3 linked regions of the Mus musculus genome follow. The protein of the gene in region 1 binds, or shares a complex with, the protein of each later gene. Links are inferred from orthologs where the notes say so. Each region holds a gene or a part of one and is shown in the gene's direction. Other genes may lie near its edges. The genes, in order: Gtf2f1, Polr2h and Gtf2h5.

Region 1 (4,458 bases):
GTCAAAAGCAGCTCCTCCTCCCACTATGCGTAGTCTTCTTCCGGGCATGCATAGGTGTGGTTCATGGACGGCTCCTTGTCCAGTGAGACCCTGCCCCTTCTCTAAGTAATCCTTGAGATAAATTAACAGTGGGGGGTGTGGGTGGGGGTAGTGTATGCACACATTACCACACAGATGGCAGAAGCAACAAGGACCAGGCATTCAGGTCCATCTTCTGTATTAAGTTTGAAGCCAGCTGTGGTTATATGAGATTTGGTTTCAAAACACCCCAAAACTTGACAGACACAGTAGTACACACCCTTAATCTCAGCACTTTGGTGCACAGGCAACAGGATCTCTGAGTTTGAGGGGTGGTTTATATTCCAAGTTACAGACCAGCTAAGATCACACAATGAGATCCTGTTTTAAAAGGAATTTTAACTGGGCCAAGCCTGGTGGTGCACACCTTTACCCCAGCACTCTAGGATGCAGTGGCATGAGAATCTCTGTGAGTTCAAGGCCAGCCTGGTTTTCATAGTGAGTTCCAAGACAGCTAGGACAATAGAGAGAGATCCTGTTTCACCAAGAAAACAAAACCAAAAACCAAAAACAACCGAACAACCCACCACCTCCAAAGCCATAAAATGTTATTTAGCTAACCAATATAATGGCTGGATATGCCTGGAACAGACCCTGAGTTTGGAGGAGCTAAGATTTGGGGTCTCCAGGGGGCTTAGGTGCACATGGGCCTGAGTCCATCTCAGGGCTCACCCTATATTGTTTCAAGATTTGGGGGTTTGAAATGGCCCAGGCTGTATGCCCTGCCTCTTTCTCTTTCTGTTGCATGTGGTGTGGCTCAGGCTAACTACCCTGCCTTAGCCTCCTTTACAGTGTTTGTGCCTTAATGAGGTTATCCTGTCATGCCCATTTGTCCTGTAAAGAAGGGATGCCCATTTGAGTGTATCGGTCATTATCTTCTACCATCCTCTTTGCCCAAGGAGCTCTTTGCAGTCCCCTACTCCCCACCATCCTCTGCTACACAAAGTACATAGTCACTTGTTCCCATGCAGGAGGAACAAGGTCCTAAACCACTTCAGCATCATGCAGCAGCGGCGGCTCAAGGACCAGGACCAGGATGAAGATGAGGAGGAGAAGGAGAAGCGCAGTCGCAAGAAGCCTAGTGAGCTGCGCATTCATGACCTGGAGGATGACCTGGAAATGTCCTCCGATGCCAGCGATGCCAGTGGTGAAGAGGGTAAGTGGGGACCCAGAGGTCTTAGTTCAGAGACCAGGTGAGTTACCACCACCTGGGAAGCAGCAATGTGTCCCTGTAGAGCTGCCTGCTCAGATACTATTTTTTTGTTTTGTTTTTCGAGACAGGGTTTCTCTGTGTAGCCCTGGCTGTCCTGGAACTCACTTTGTAGACCAGGCTGTCCTCGAACTCAGAAATCCACCTGCCTCTGCCTCTCAAGTGCTGGGATTAAAGGCCTGCGCTACCACTGCCTGGCTCAGATACTTTTTATAAAGGCTTTAGATGCTATGTGACCTGTGTCTTTCCTGTCACTGCTTGAGTACAGTGATGCATGTGGCATCAGCTGTCAGGATTTCCTGGCTAGATGGAATTGCTGCTCATGGGTATAGCCCCTGCCTAGAATCCCCAGTGAGAGCGGCTGGGGGCGTGGCTTGGGTGGAGCCCCTGCTTAGAGTCCCCAGTGAGAGCGGCTGGAGCCCCTGCCCAGCAGAGAGCAGAGATCTGTGCTCATCCAGTCTGAGCTCCTGTGTCTTCCTCTCACAGGCAGCAGAACCTCCAAGGCTAAGAAAAAGGCCCCTGTGACCAAGGCAGGCAGGAAGAAGAAAAAGAAGAAGGGCTCAGATGATGAGGCTTTTGAGGACAGCGATGATGGGGACTTCGAGGGCCAGGAGGTAGACTACATGTCTGATGGCTCCAGGTAAGGCACAGGCAAGGCAGAGATGAGGCAGGGGCAAGGCAGGCCAGGCCTGTGGCCGCCCAACTTTACGGCTTGCCTTTCTCTGCCCTATAGCAGCTCTCCAGATGAGACAGAAGGCAAGCCCAAAGTGCCCCAGCAGGAGGATGGCCCAAAGGGTAGGTGCCAGTTAGGGACCAACCAGTGGGTGGGAGTGCGCTCAGAAGTTGCCACTGCTCACCCATGTGACCTGTGTCCCAGGGGTGGATGAGCAGAGCGAGAGCAGTGAGGAGAGTGAGGAGGAGAAGCCCCCCGAGGAGGACAAGGAGGAGGAAGAAGAGAAGAAGGCCCCTACCCCACAAGAGAAGAAGCGCAGGAAAGGTGGGCGATGATGGCCAGTATACTCCTGGTCCTTTGGCCCTCCCTGCTCATGGGTGCTGATGGGTAGGCTCTGTCTGGGGTCTCTGCTTATGGTCCTTATCTGCCCTGTGCAGACAGCAGTGATGACTCAGACAGCTCAGAAGAGAGCGACATTGACAGTGAGACCTCCTCTGCACTCTTCATGGCGGTAAGTCAGAGCTGGGGGCTTGAGTAGGGCCAGTCTGAGCCTTCACACTCATACCCTAATCTCTGCAGAAGAAGAAGACACCCCCAAAGAGGGAGCGGAAGCCATCGGGGGGGAGTTCAAAGGGCACCAGTCGGCCAGGGACTCCCAGTGCAGAAGCAGCAAGCACCTCTTCTACCCTGCGGGCTGCAGCCAGCAAGCTGGAGCAGGGTGAGTGCCCAGAAAAGCCTGTCACTGGAGAAAGAGCTGCTGGCAGCCACCTGTTGTCCCCGATCTGGGCCCTGCCTGGACGTGACATTACTCTCTCCACCAGGGAAGCGGACGAGTGAGACTCCAGCAGCCAAGCGTCTTCGGATGGACACGGGTCCCCAGAGCCTGTCTGGGAAGTCCACACCCAGCAGCGGGTACGTTCAGACAGGAGCAGGACCATAGGTGGGATTGGGCTAAAGGGACTCTTGTATGACTCCAGCCTCCCTCCCTTCCCCTCCCACAGTGATGTCCAGGTGACAGAGGACGCTGTGCGCCGCTACCTGACCCGCAAGCCCATGACCACAAAGGACCTGCTGAAGAAGTTCCAGACCAAGAAGACAGGGCTGAGCAGCGAGCAGACAGTAAATGTGCTGGCGCAGATCCTCAAGCGCCTCAACCCTGAGCGCAAGATGATTGGTGATAAGATGCACTTCTCCCTCAAAGAGTGATGCCAATAAAGAGAGCAGGCCCAGAGTGTGTGCGAGTCATCACTGCCACCCCTGCCGCCCTGGAGCCCTGAGGCATCTGGGCCTCCATTCTTCCATTGTTTCTCAATCTCTCCCCCTCCCTCCCTCCCTCCCTCCTTCCTTCTTTTCTTTCTTTAATGCATCATATATGTATTAATCATTCCATTTGTTTACATCTCAAATGATATCCCACTTCCTGGTTACGCCCTCCACCAACCCCCATCCCACATCCCGTCCTCCCTCCTCTCCTTTGCCTGTATGAGAGTGCTCCCACACTCTCCCACTGCTCCAGCATCCTCCTACTCTGGGGCATCAAACCTCCCTGGGACAAAGAGACACCCCTCCCATTGCTGTCAGGCAAGGCCATCTTCCTACATTTGTATCTGGAGCCATGGATCCCTCCAGGTACACTCCTTGGCTAGTGGTCTAAACTATGGAAGAACTGGGTGGTCAGGCCATCCTATGTTGTTCTTCCAATGGGGTTGCAATCCCCTCCAGTCCTTCTGCAAGCTCCCCCACCAGGTTCCCTGAGTTCTGCCTGATGGTTGGCTCCAAGCATCTGCCTCAGCATTAGTCAGTTGCTGACAGGACCTCCCAAGGAACCGCCACACTAGGTTCCTGTCAGCAAGCTCCTCTTGACCATGGGAACTGTTGGGTTTGGTGTCTGTAGACATGATGGATCCCCAGGTGAGGCAGTCCCCAGTTAGCCCTTACTTTAGTCTCTGTGCTATTTTTTGTCCCTGTTCTTCCTTTGGGCAGGAATGTTTCTGGGTTAAAAACTTTGAGATGGTGTGTGTGTGTGTCCGTCCCCATCCCTCAACCAGGGGCTGGACCTATCTACTGGAGGTGATTTCAACAAGTTCTATCTCCTCTGAGCATTTCGGCTGAAGTCATCCTGGTTGGGTCCTGGGCCCTCCAGCAGCTATCCCCAGTTCCTCATCCTCCTGCTACATATTTTTGTTTGATTTCCTGACCCTCTGTACCTCTCTCACATCTCCAGTTCCTGATACTCCACCCTTCTGAGCCTCCATTCTTTTTTTTTTTTTTTTTTTTTTTTTTTTAAGTTTTTTGAGACAGGGTTTCTCTGTGTAGCCCTGGCTGTCCTGGAACTCACTCTGTGGACCAGGCTGGCCTTGAACTCAGAAATCTGCCTGCCTCTGCCTCCCAAGTGCTGGGATTAAAGGCATGTGCCACCACGCCCGGGTGAGCTTCCATTCTTATAAGACACAGCCTTTCTGCCCACTGAGCTCAATCCATAGCCAGGACTTGTCCC
Region 2 (5,785 bases), on another chromosome or scaffold:
TGGGTTTCACTTACCAGGGTCTGCTCGTACTGCAGCGCTCGAGGCTCCATCCCTTCCCCCGCCGCCGCCGCCGCGGCCGCCGCAGCCGTTGCAGCCGCCATCTCGGTGCACTGTCCTCTTGCCTCCCTCTGCTTCTCGGCCTTGACTCAGCTCCCGGCCCGCTGAGCCCGCGCCCGCACCCGTCCCGTCCCCTCAGCCCAGGCGGCCGAGTGCAGAGTGCGACGGGTCCCCGGGCGCGCGCCGCAGGCTCAGCCTCCCGCTAGCGTCTCCTCCTCGGCGGGCGGGCCGAGGGCGGTGCCCTGCTTTGCTGCTCCGCCCCGGCCCATCTGCAGGGGCGTCCCTGCCCGGCCGGGGTCTGCATTGGGGCCGCCTCCTGGTGTCCGGAGAGGCGGCAGGGGGCGCTTGAAACACGATCTCGCACCCCTTCGCCACGGAGGCCCGGGATTAACCCAGCGCCCTGAGGGTGCGGGGGCCGGGCGGGGGCGGGTCTGCTGGCACGTGGAAGGGACGGGCTCTCCCGCGGCTGCAGCGTTGTGCGGGAGGGGCTGGAGATGTGGGGACTCTTGAACTGGGGTAGGGGGCTACTGACAAAAGCTAATTCGGGCTCTCTAAGCCAGACCGGACAGGGGCAGCCTCTGCTTCACACTTTCAGGCGGCTCAGACGCATCTGGGAGGATGCCCGAGAGCCGGCTCCCTCCTTGCCTCCCTTTCTCCTTCCTTTCCTCCGGGTTCCCCCGGGAAGGTGCACCTGGAATGGCTAGGCCTGGAAAGAGGGGCGGAGGTGGAGGTGGGAGGGGACGGGAAGGGGTGAGGCCCGAGGGAAGGGAGCTATTGGTGCGGGGGAGGCCGCTCCTGGGAGGCGGGTGTGTGTGTGTGTGTGGGGGGGGGGGGGAGCAGAGGTCGCTCCTCCCAGGCACCGCTTAAGGGGGAATTTGAGTAGCTGCTGACGCCCTGAGGAAACGGCCTACTGAGGCTCCACATTGTCTTTCGGGGTCCTGGGAAGGACAAGAAGAAGGTGTCGAGGGCACAAAGAGGATGGGCAGCGTTAGGTTGGAGCCACTGGAGAGGACAGTGTCCAGAAATCTGTGGAGAAAGAATAGTACCAGGATGAAGACTCATTCAAGAAACAAGAGGGTGCCCAGCACAGGGGCTGTAATGAGAGGAGGTAGCACCTAGAAAGAAGGTATTGCGAGCTGTCGCCTCCCAGTGAAAGGCGCACTTCAGTGTCCAGAAGAGGGTGGTATAGTGGGGTGACAGGCAGTACCAAGTTCAGTTGGCAGTGTTCTAGGGGATCAGTGTGAGGCTAGTGCCAAGCAGGGCCAAGGGAAGACGGGAGTGGCGAGGAGGTGAAGCCCCAGGGGAGGGCACAATGCGGGCTTTCCTTTCCCCGAGAGTGACATCATGGCAAATTCCCAAACCGGACGCACCCGGCTCCGGTGATGTCTAGCTGGTCCGAGCCAGCTCGCACCAGCTTTGGGGATCTTGGTGACAGTCTGAGGGGCTGGGCACCGGGTCCTGGAGGGCTGGTGCTCTGCGGGCGGGGTTCTGCTCCACCTGCCTGCAGCGCGGACTGTGCCCTCGGCCGGCACGCGGACTTCAGGGAAGGGCTAGGGCCGGGCTTCTCTGGGCCAAGGATCAAGGTTCCTGGCTGGGTTAGGCCCCCAAGCTTTCCACGCTTTGGGATCCACAGTCTGAAGAGGGCGCCGTCGAGCCGGGCGCAGCGCGGTACCCCGTCGGAGGTGGGACTTAATCTGTCCCCGCCTTGGACGGAGTCACCGAGTTTTGAGACTCGCCCACAAGGCCCGAGCACCTCGGAGGTGGCCCTTCCCGGCGGAAGTGAAGAAGCCCCGAGAAGGAGGCAGCGGAAGTGGCTGCGTGACTGCAGCCCGTGCGCACGCGCCCTCGGCCTCGTTGCCGCTTTTGGGGCGGTACTCTGCCCTGTCTTACTTTTCTCCACGTGAGGGGGTGCGCGAATCCCCAGTGGTGGCCGCGCGCTCACATCCTCTGCAGCTTTCGTGCCCTTCGCGATGGCGGGCATCCTGTTCGAGGATATTTTCGATGTGAAAGACATCGACCCAGAAGGCAAGAAATTTGACCGAGGTAAGCGGTGTCGGGGCGGTAGGAGGGAAGTGGCCAACATGCCCACCCACCCCAAGTGGCTGGCCCGCCCCACCCTCTCGGTACCTCCCTCAGGAAACAGTTTTTTTTTTTTTTTCGTGAATGAGAAACTTGAGACAGCTTTTTCTATTATATTTGCGGTGCCTGGTGCCCGGTGGGTGGCCCTTAGCTGGGTGCTGGCATACCCCTGGGAACCTTTCTAACTCCCTACACAGTTATTATGTGCTCTACCGTGCTCTGAACTTTATTCTTGGAAAAAGTAGATGGTGCCTTATCTCTTTTGTTACCCCAGGTCTTGCAGCGAGTTACCTACCTGCCTTCCTAACCAATAATTTTGTATTAGCCTAAGAACAAGTTAGCTCTTTCCGAAGCTCTCTGAATTTCATTCAGTTGACCGCTTGGTGTATTTATTTTCCCAACGATCCGGAAGTTGTTTCTTCTTGGTGTCGCTTAGCCTGGAGGCAAATGTCTTAAGACAGATGTCAGTTTTGAATACATCCCTCAGATTCCCTCAGCAGTGTCTCCTGCTAGAAAGAGGAAGTCTCAGGACCAGTGAGACTCTAGTCTAAATCATCCAGGCGTTTTTAGTTAGAGCCTGGAGACTGGCCACTGCTGGAGGAGCTTTGCCGCTTGCTTGGGACCCTGTCACTTGCTGAGGTTACTGCCTTCTTCCCTCTTGTGAATCTGATTCTGATTGCAGTTGTGGGAGGCTGGTGGGTGTGTGCATGTTAGATGATTTGATCTCTTGCATTTGACCCCAAGCTGGCATCGATAGACTTTGTAATCATGTCTGTCATGCACTCTTCCCCAGTATCCCGGCTGCACTGTGAGAGTGAATCTTTCAAGATGGACCTCATCTTAGATGTAAACATTCAGATTTACCCTGTGGACTTAGGTAAGTATTGAATACGGGCAATGGCAAGAGGATTTTGGTCTTAGGTGTCTACTTCTTTACCCTGATGTTGCTGCTCTATTCAGGTGACAAGTTCCGGTTGGTTATAGCTAGTACTTTGTATGAAGATGGTACCTTGGATGATGGTGAATACAACCCCACAGATGACAGGCCTTCCAGGTGAGGTAGCAGTAAACAAGTGACTAAGATAAGAATATAGTGCAGAGAAAGTATAATATGTAGATTATGGATATACATATGTATAACTATATGTTATAGAAAATTTGATTTCTTGGATACAATATGTATTATATACTATGCACATTACATGACAATGTATAACATAAGTTATATAATGTTATATATTAGATATAATATATAACATGTATGTTATAGTATATAATAACATATGTTAATACTATATATAAGTAACTATGATGAGAATGTAATGAAGTAATATAATATATAATTTATTTATATATTATATATAATGTTGTACATTACATATAATATATAGTACATATTATATATTACATATAATGTTATATAACATATGTTCTATATTATGTATATATTATAAAGAAAGAAAAACGTAAGTATATAGGAAAGTCTTTACTTCTAGAGATAAATGATTGCTGTCAGTGGAATCTGAATTACCTTAAAGGCATTGCTGCAATTAGAGTTCGGACAACTAGCTGGGCAGTGGTGGCACACGCCTTTAATTCCAGCATAAGCACTTGGGAGGCAGAAGCAGGCAGATTTCTGTTCAAGGCCAGCCTGGTCTACAGAGTGAGTTCCAGGACAGCTAGGGCTATACAGAGAAACCCTGTCTCAAAAAAAAAACCAAAAAAACAAAAAACAACAAAAAAAAAGAATTCAGACAACTAGACCTGGATGTGATGGCTTTTGTCTATAATCCAGGATTCAGGAGACGGTTCACGAGTTCAAGAAAATGTTTGGCCTCATATCAAGTCTGAGGCTAGCCTTGGCTACATGAGACCTTGTGTCTAAAAAAATTGAAAAAAATTCAGATGACTAGTTTTATTCATTACTGAGAGCAGTGATCATAAGCTTGTGAATTGCATCTATTTATTTATGTGGGACAGGGTCTTCTCACTTTGTAGAGACCTGGTTGACCTGGTCTGTAGATCAGGCTGGCCTTGCACTTAGAGTCACATCTACCTCCTCTGCCTCAGTGCTGGAATTAAGGTTATGTGCCGCCTTTGGTTCAGGGTTAGGTCTTTAAGGCTGAGGAAAGGATTACATAGTAACTTAGGTCTTGTGAGGGAGCTTGGTGTGATAGAAAGACTATGGAGTAGTAGGTCTGGTGACCAGCACCCTTAGTCCCTGCACTTGGGAAACAGAAGCACAAGTCTGTCTGACTGTGAGTTTGAGGCCAGTTGGAATAGGGCTAAAAGGCCACGACTCAACCTGAGTTTTCAGTTCAAAGCCTTCTGTCTCCTCATCAATGAAATACAGATGGTCATGTGTACCTCACAGAATTTCTGTGGGGGCCAAGGAAGGTCATGGTTCTGCATGTGTACCTCATCAGTCTCCATTTCTAAAGTTCCCGTAGACTCTTACTATGAAGAGTGACCAGTCTGTTGTTTGTAGGGCTGACCAGTTTGAGTATGTCATGTATGGGAAAGTGTACAGGATCGAAGGGGATGAGACCTCCACTGAAGCAGCCACACGCCTGTAAGTAACACTGTCTAGGAAAAGTCTTTTCCCTCCCTGCTCTGAGGTTGGGCCAGGCTTTTACTTCTGTGTTGCCGCCCTCTCCCCACCCCCACCCCCCTTTGTTTCTAGTATTCCAAACCTAGGTGGAAGAATTTGTCTTGGGAACAGTTTCCAGCCTGTATGTGGGTCACTCAGCGGCACCATAGTCAGGGTTTTCAAGACCCTGTAGTCCAGAGGAGGCACGAGCTATCTTGCTTTGTGAAGGACAACAGAGCATCTTGCTGGAGAACACGTGCACTATGCATAATCAGGCCTTTTTTGTTTGTTTGTTTGTTTGTTTGTTTGTTTGTTTTGGTTAAGTATGTATTGCTTCTCTGTAGCCCAACCCTTGGATCTTTGGTTTCCCTGCCTGAATTTTTTTTCCCCTTTTCTTTAAAATGATGTTTAAAAAGTGTGGTTGTCAGAAACTTGAAGCACAGAAAAAGAACAAAATGAGAAGAAGAACAATAGTCACCTAGGGAATCTTTTAGATAAAGAGTTTGAGTAGCTGCTGTGGTGGCAGATATCTGTAATTCAGCATTGGAGAGACAGAGGCAGGTGGATTTCTGTGCATTCCAGGCCAGCCTGGTCTACAGAGTGAGTTCCAGGCCAGCCAGGGTTACATAGTGAGACCCTGTTATTTTAAAAACAGAAACAAACAAAGAGTTTAAATAGTTTTTTTTTAAGTGTTTACTTTTCTCTTTAAGACCCTTTACAATATTTTTCTTATTAGTTGAAAGCTCCCCAAACTTTTTTTTTTTTTTTGAGACAAGGTAGCCTGGACTGGGACTGACCCAGGCTGCCTTTGGACTCAGGAGATCCACTTTATTGCCTCCTGCTGCTGGGATTAAAGGCATGAGCCGTTCTCTTGGCTCCTTAGCATTTTCAAAAATGTATTTATTGTATGTGTGTGTGTATCATGTGCAGGCATGAGTCCACCAAGGTCAGAAGAGGAATTAAAGTGGTTATGAGATGCTGTGTGGTGCTGGGAAGTGAACCCAGGTTTTCTGCATTTTGCAAGAACACCTAGTGATCTTCCGGTTGAGCCATCTCTGC
Region 3 (4,195 bases), about 51 Mb from region 1:
CTCATTTGAGTATAACTGTGCTCACTTAGTGCAGGCAAACAAAACTACTCCCTCCGTCTATATTTTAATAATGACTAGTGCTGCCTGCATTTCCAAATATTTTAATCTCCTGGGTAAAATGGTACTTAGACCTCACTTCTGCTTGTCTAATGCATTGTGAAATTTAAACGCTTGTACCCTTTGTGGACACTTCAGGTCACAGGCAGATTGTTCTGAAGTGACTGGCCCTTTAGGTACCACTAACTATGGTAAAGAGGTCTGAAGCCTCTTAAATTACGTGAAAGAAGAATGAAAAAAATCAGCGTTTCTACAAAAATAAATAAGCAACGGCAACAATAAAAAAGGAGCGGGGTACAGTAGATGTGGGAATGAACTAACAAGAGGGCCCAGGGATGGTAAGATGGCTCAGCAAACACGGCACTCTTGTGCAGAGCCTGATGGACAGAGTTCCAGCCCAGGGATTCACATGCAGGAAGAGAATGGGCTCCTTCCAACTGTCCTCTGACCGTTCCTGCATTGGTGAACACACATCACACACCCGACCCACGTACATACATACATGCATACATATATGTAATAAATACATTCTTTAAAAGAGAAGTTTGAGGAGCTGTGAGGGAAACAGGTGGAAGGGTGAAACTGGCTAAAGGAAGATGAGACGTGTAAAGCAAATATCAGCATGAGCTTAAATGTGGAAATACAATTTAACCTAAGGATCAAGAAGCTAAAACTACCTCCTGTCTCAACTGCTGAGAACTCAGCTCCATTAAGACTACAGATCAGAATTTGGGAATAGGATTAACTTCAGAACTTTCCGGAGGCCTTCAGCTTAAAATGACGGTTACTGGGATTAGAAAACCTATCAGCATTCCAACTATTCAATCTCCCAGGTCGGAGAAGAGCAAGATGTGTCCGACTCAGGTGTGGCTTATGAGAACACAGAGCCCAGGACAGTGCACCTTCCATGCAGGTGCTCTCCTCCAAGCCTCAGGGGCAACCAGCGCGGCGCAGTGACCAATCAAGAAAAAGACAAAAATCCGTGGTGCCGCGGCGAGTCATCGGGTCCCTCCGAGACCGCGCGACCTTAGTGTCTGTGCAGGACTACCGCCCTCCTCTCCTGGGGCTGCGGCGACGCCCTTGCCCTCCCTCCCTTCCGTCCGTCCTTCTGTCCGTTCGCCCGTCCTACCTGCCGGCGCAATGACTCTGGCAGCCCGGACGGCTCGCGGTGGACTCCGCCGGCTACAGAGCTCACCCTCCGCCACCACTAGTAACCTGCGCCCTAACCCAGCGGCAGTGAGCACGTGACCCCGCCTCTGAGGGCTTGACCCCGCCCTTAGGGCCCGCCCCAGAGAGTCGCCCCACCTACTAGGGTGTCGCAGGCGCGATGACGTACGGCGCAGGCGCAGTGAGTCGGCGACGCCGGGCCAGCTCTGGTTTGTTGGAGTTGGAACGCTGCTGCCTCTGCGCGCCTAGAAAAAGGTAGGTTGCGTGGGGCTCGGCTGCCTCGGAGATAAGGCGGGGAAGAGGAAAGACACAGAGCCTTCGGTCCTGTGGGCGGGCCGAAGTCCCGCACCCTTTCTAAGGCCTGTGTTGTGGGTCCGCGCGGCCATCACGCATTGCATCGCGGTTTTCTGTGGGGAAGGTAGCTGCCCATGCCTGCGTGTAGACACTGGTGGCTGTCACGCAGGCGATTGCCAATGCAGATCCTTAGAGGACGTAGTTTATTAATCAAAAGAACACAAGATCTGGAGACCTAGGTGTTTGTAAATTTAAATTACCTGCTTTGTCCAGGTACTCGGTCTCATCAGTATAATCAGGCGGTGGGTCACTGTAATTTTGAGGCTCTTTCGGAACTACCATTTTGTAGTTTCTGCCTCCCAGAATCTTTTCAGTGTATCGTTCTCTTGGATAAAAAAGAAAACAGTTGAATAATGAATCTATTTTACACTGTGTTGGGCCCGTTAATTTTTGAGGAGTTTTGGTTTTGGGTTTTTTTTGTTGTTTGTTTTTTTGTTTTTAAAGTTTGTGGCTCACTATGTAGTCTAGGCTGGTCCAAAACTAAAGAGCCCTGCCAGCCCCTTCCTCCCTCCTGAGTGCTGGGATTGAAAGCCTGAACCACCCTGCCGTGTTTGGAGCTTACTTTTTAAAAGATTAATTAGAATTTGTAAGTAGGATTTATGCTTTATTAATATTGCAAATATTCTGCTTTAGCACTGGTAAGAACAGGAATATCTGGATGCCTCAATGTTAGCTTTTTAATGCTGACATTTAGTTTTTTGTTTCATCTCAGATGTAAATCCCCAAAGTGGGTTTAAACATTTGGATTTTATGTCACTTCATCCCTTTTAAATTGTATTTATTTATTTTAGAATTCTTGAAGTCATCTGCACCGTCTGCCTGGGAAAAGATGGTCAACGTGCTGAAAGGGGTGCTTATAGAATGGTTCGTAGCTTTAACAATTCATGATTTTAAATTTACACATCGAGTCTTGTTATGTATATTCACTATGCCTCAATAGTGTGTGTGTGTGTATGTCTTTTCCAAAATTTTGTTTTGTTGATATAAATGAAATCCAGGCTTCAACTTTGAATTTCCATAAGCTTTCCTTATAAGTGGGACAGGATTTGCTGCTAGGTTTCTTGCTGATATTACATTTTATTGTCTCTGTTAAGTGAATGTAATTAGCTTTACTTCCAGTGATTTTTTTTTTAATGGGAAGCTTGTGTGTTAGATTAGCCTTGTTTAGAGAAACAGTGTCACTATCTAAAACCATCAGCTCTTGGCTAGATTAAGCTTTGGAAGAATGCAGGCGCTTGGCTTGGGCCAGGCTCTTGGGCCAGGCTCCTGGGGTGGGCCTTTGTCCCAGCAGGTGGATCTCTTAGCTGATCAAAGTCATCCTGCTCTACATGGTAAGTTTCAGATCCTGCTTCCTACCCACCCCCCAAGGCTGTATAATGAAACCTTGCCTCAAAAAATGAAAAGAATAAAGCAATACATGAACTTGGTTAAATCTTTGCCACTACAGCATGCCTTTCTTGAAAGGAAATGAGAGCCAAATGCAACAGGCTTAACTTAGGAGTTTCTCCAAAGGAGAAACCATTTTTAGAGTTGAATTCTTCAAAGTAACCTAAAATACAGGTCTTTGCTGTCTCTGACTTTTAAAACTCGAACTCAAAGCTTTCGCTTTGTTGGTAGGAAGCCCTGTTCTCTGGACTCCCCTTTATTAAAAATACTGTCTCCTTTCTGTTTGCCTATTATGAGTCATTGTTTAGGTAGTGGTGCTTTTACTGTGATGGCAAAGCTGAGGGGACAGCAGGGTCAAACCCTAGGATACCTGTAACATTTGGAGCAGCACTGTCCAGTGGAAATACAGTATAAGCCACATAAATTAAATTTTCTAGTAACTACATCAAAGAGTGAAATGAATCAGGTAGGCTGTGAGTAATTTTATTTTCTGTGTATGAGTATTTGCCTAAGGATATCAGAAGACGGCATTGGATTGCCAGGACCTTGGGTTGGGAACAAGTTGTGAGCCACTGGGCTGGGAACTGAACCTGGGTCCTCTGCAAGAGCAACAAGTGCTCTTACCCTCTGAGCCAGCTCTCTTTTCCCATGTATTAAGTCTCAAAAAAACCCTTCAAGTCTAGTATCTTACTTTTACATAGTATCAAATGTTCTGTGACTAGTGAGCTACCATAGGATAAAACAGGAAGATAGAGATTTCAACAAAGTCAGTTTTGTTTTGTTTTGTTTTGTTTTGTAACTATCTTTATTCTCAAATTGATAAAACCATTTAACATATATTTTACAGTATAAACAAATTAAGTGCTATGCATTTTACTTATAAAGTGACTTAAAGTATTTAAGCATATAATTTGTACAAAAGTTTTCAAATAAAGCTTTGGTTAGTAAAACTGACTATATACCATCAATTCCATTTTTCAATGTTGTTCAAAAAATTAAAAAGAAAAACAAAACACAAAACAGCACAGGAGGAGGAGGAGGAGGAGGAAAAAGCAAACAAAAACCAACACTAGTTGAGGTTGGAGGGACTGTAAATCGGGAAATAGTTCATGAATTTAAAAGGGCTGATTGTAGAGGCATTTTAATCCAGCAGTATGGCTACCCTGGCTGGAATAGAGACAGGCCCTTAGCACACACCTTTAATCCCAAGCAGTGAGGGTAAAGTTAGTTT

The links.
Region 2: Gtf2f1 (region 1) and Polr2h share a complex: the UniProt entries of both Homo sapiens proteins name them as parts of the TBP-based Pol II pre-initiation complex. The link is inferred for Mus musculus from reciprocal best matches to the Homo sapiens genes GTF2F1 and POLR2H.
Region 3: Gtf2f1 (region 1) and Gtf2h5 share a complex: the UniProt entries of both Homo sapiens proteins name them as parts of the TBP-based Pol II pre-initiation complex. The link is inferred for Mus musculus from reciprocal best matches to the Homo sapiens genes GTF2F1 and GTF2H5.

Annotation. Positions count from the first base shown.
Region 1 is NC_000083.6:57,002,136-57,006,593, reverse strand, and holds the end of Gtf2f1 (general transcription factor IIF subunit 1), read left to right. Parts: intron 1-1,049; coding exon 1,050-1,234; intron 1,235-1,774; coding exon 1,775-1,928; intron 1,929-2,021; coding exon 2,022-2,083; intron 2,084-2,165; coding exon 2,166-2,285; intron 2,286-2,398; coding exon 2,399-2,472; intron 2,473-2,540; coding exon 2,541-2,679; intron 2,680-2,782; coding exon 2,783-2,873; intron 2,874-2,962; coding exon 2,963-3,167; 3' UTR 3,168-3,192; downstream 3,193-4,458. UniProt on the Homo sapiens protein: TFIIF is a general transcription initiation factor that binds to RNA polymerase II and helps to recruit it to the initiation complex in collaboration with TFIIB. It promotes transcription elongation.
Region 2 is NC_000082.6:20,715,895-20,721,679, forward strand, and holds the start of Polr2h (DNA-directed RNA polymerases I, II, and III subunit RPABC3), read left to right. Parts: upstream 1-1,931; 5' UTR 1,932-2,027; coding exon 2,028-2,100; intron 2,101-2,164; exon of another isoform or gene 2,165-2,220; coding exon of another isoform or gene 2,221-2,272; intron 2,273-2,282; exon of another isoform or gene 2,283-2,775; intron 2,776-2,929; coding exon 2,930-3,013; intron 3,014-3,096; coding exon 3,097-3,190; intron 3,191-4,624; coding exon 4,625-4,708; intron 4,709-5,785. Other genes in the region: Clcn2 (chloride channel protein 2), read right to left, coding at 15-101. UniProt on the Homo sapiens protein: DNA-dependent RNA polymerase catalyzes the transcription of DNA into RNA using the four ribonucleoside triphosphates as substrates.
Region 3 is NC_000083.6:6,078,433-6,082,627, forward strand, and holds the start of Gtf2h5 (general transcription factor IIH subunit 5), read left to right. Parts: upstream 1-1,395; 5' UTR 1,396-1,479; intron 1,480-1,485; exon of another isoform or gene 1,486-2,164; intron 2,165-2,369; 5' UTR 2,370-2,407; coding exon 2,408-2,442; intron 2,443-4,195. UniProt on the Homo sapiens protein: Component of the general transcription and DNA repair factor IIH (TFIIH) core complex, which is involved in general and transcription-coupled nucleotide excision repair (NER) of damaged DNA and, when complexed to CAK, in RNA transcription by RNA polymerase II.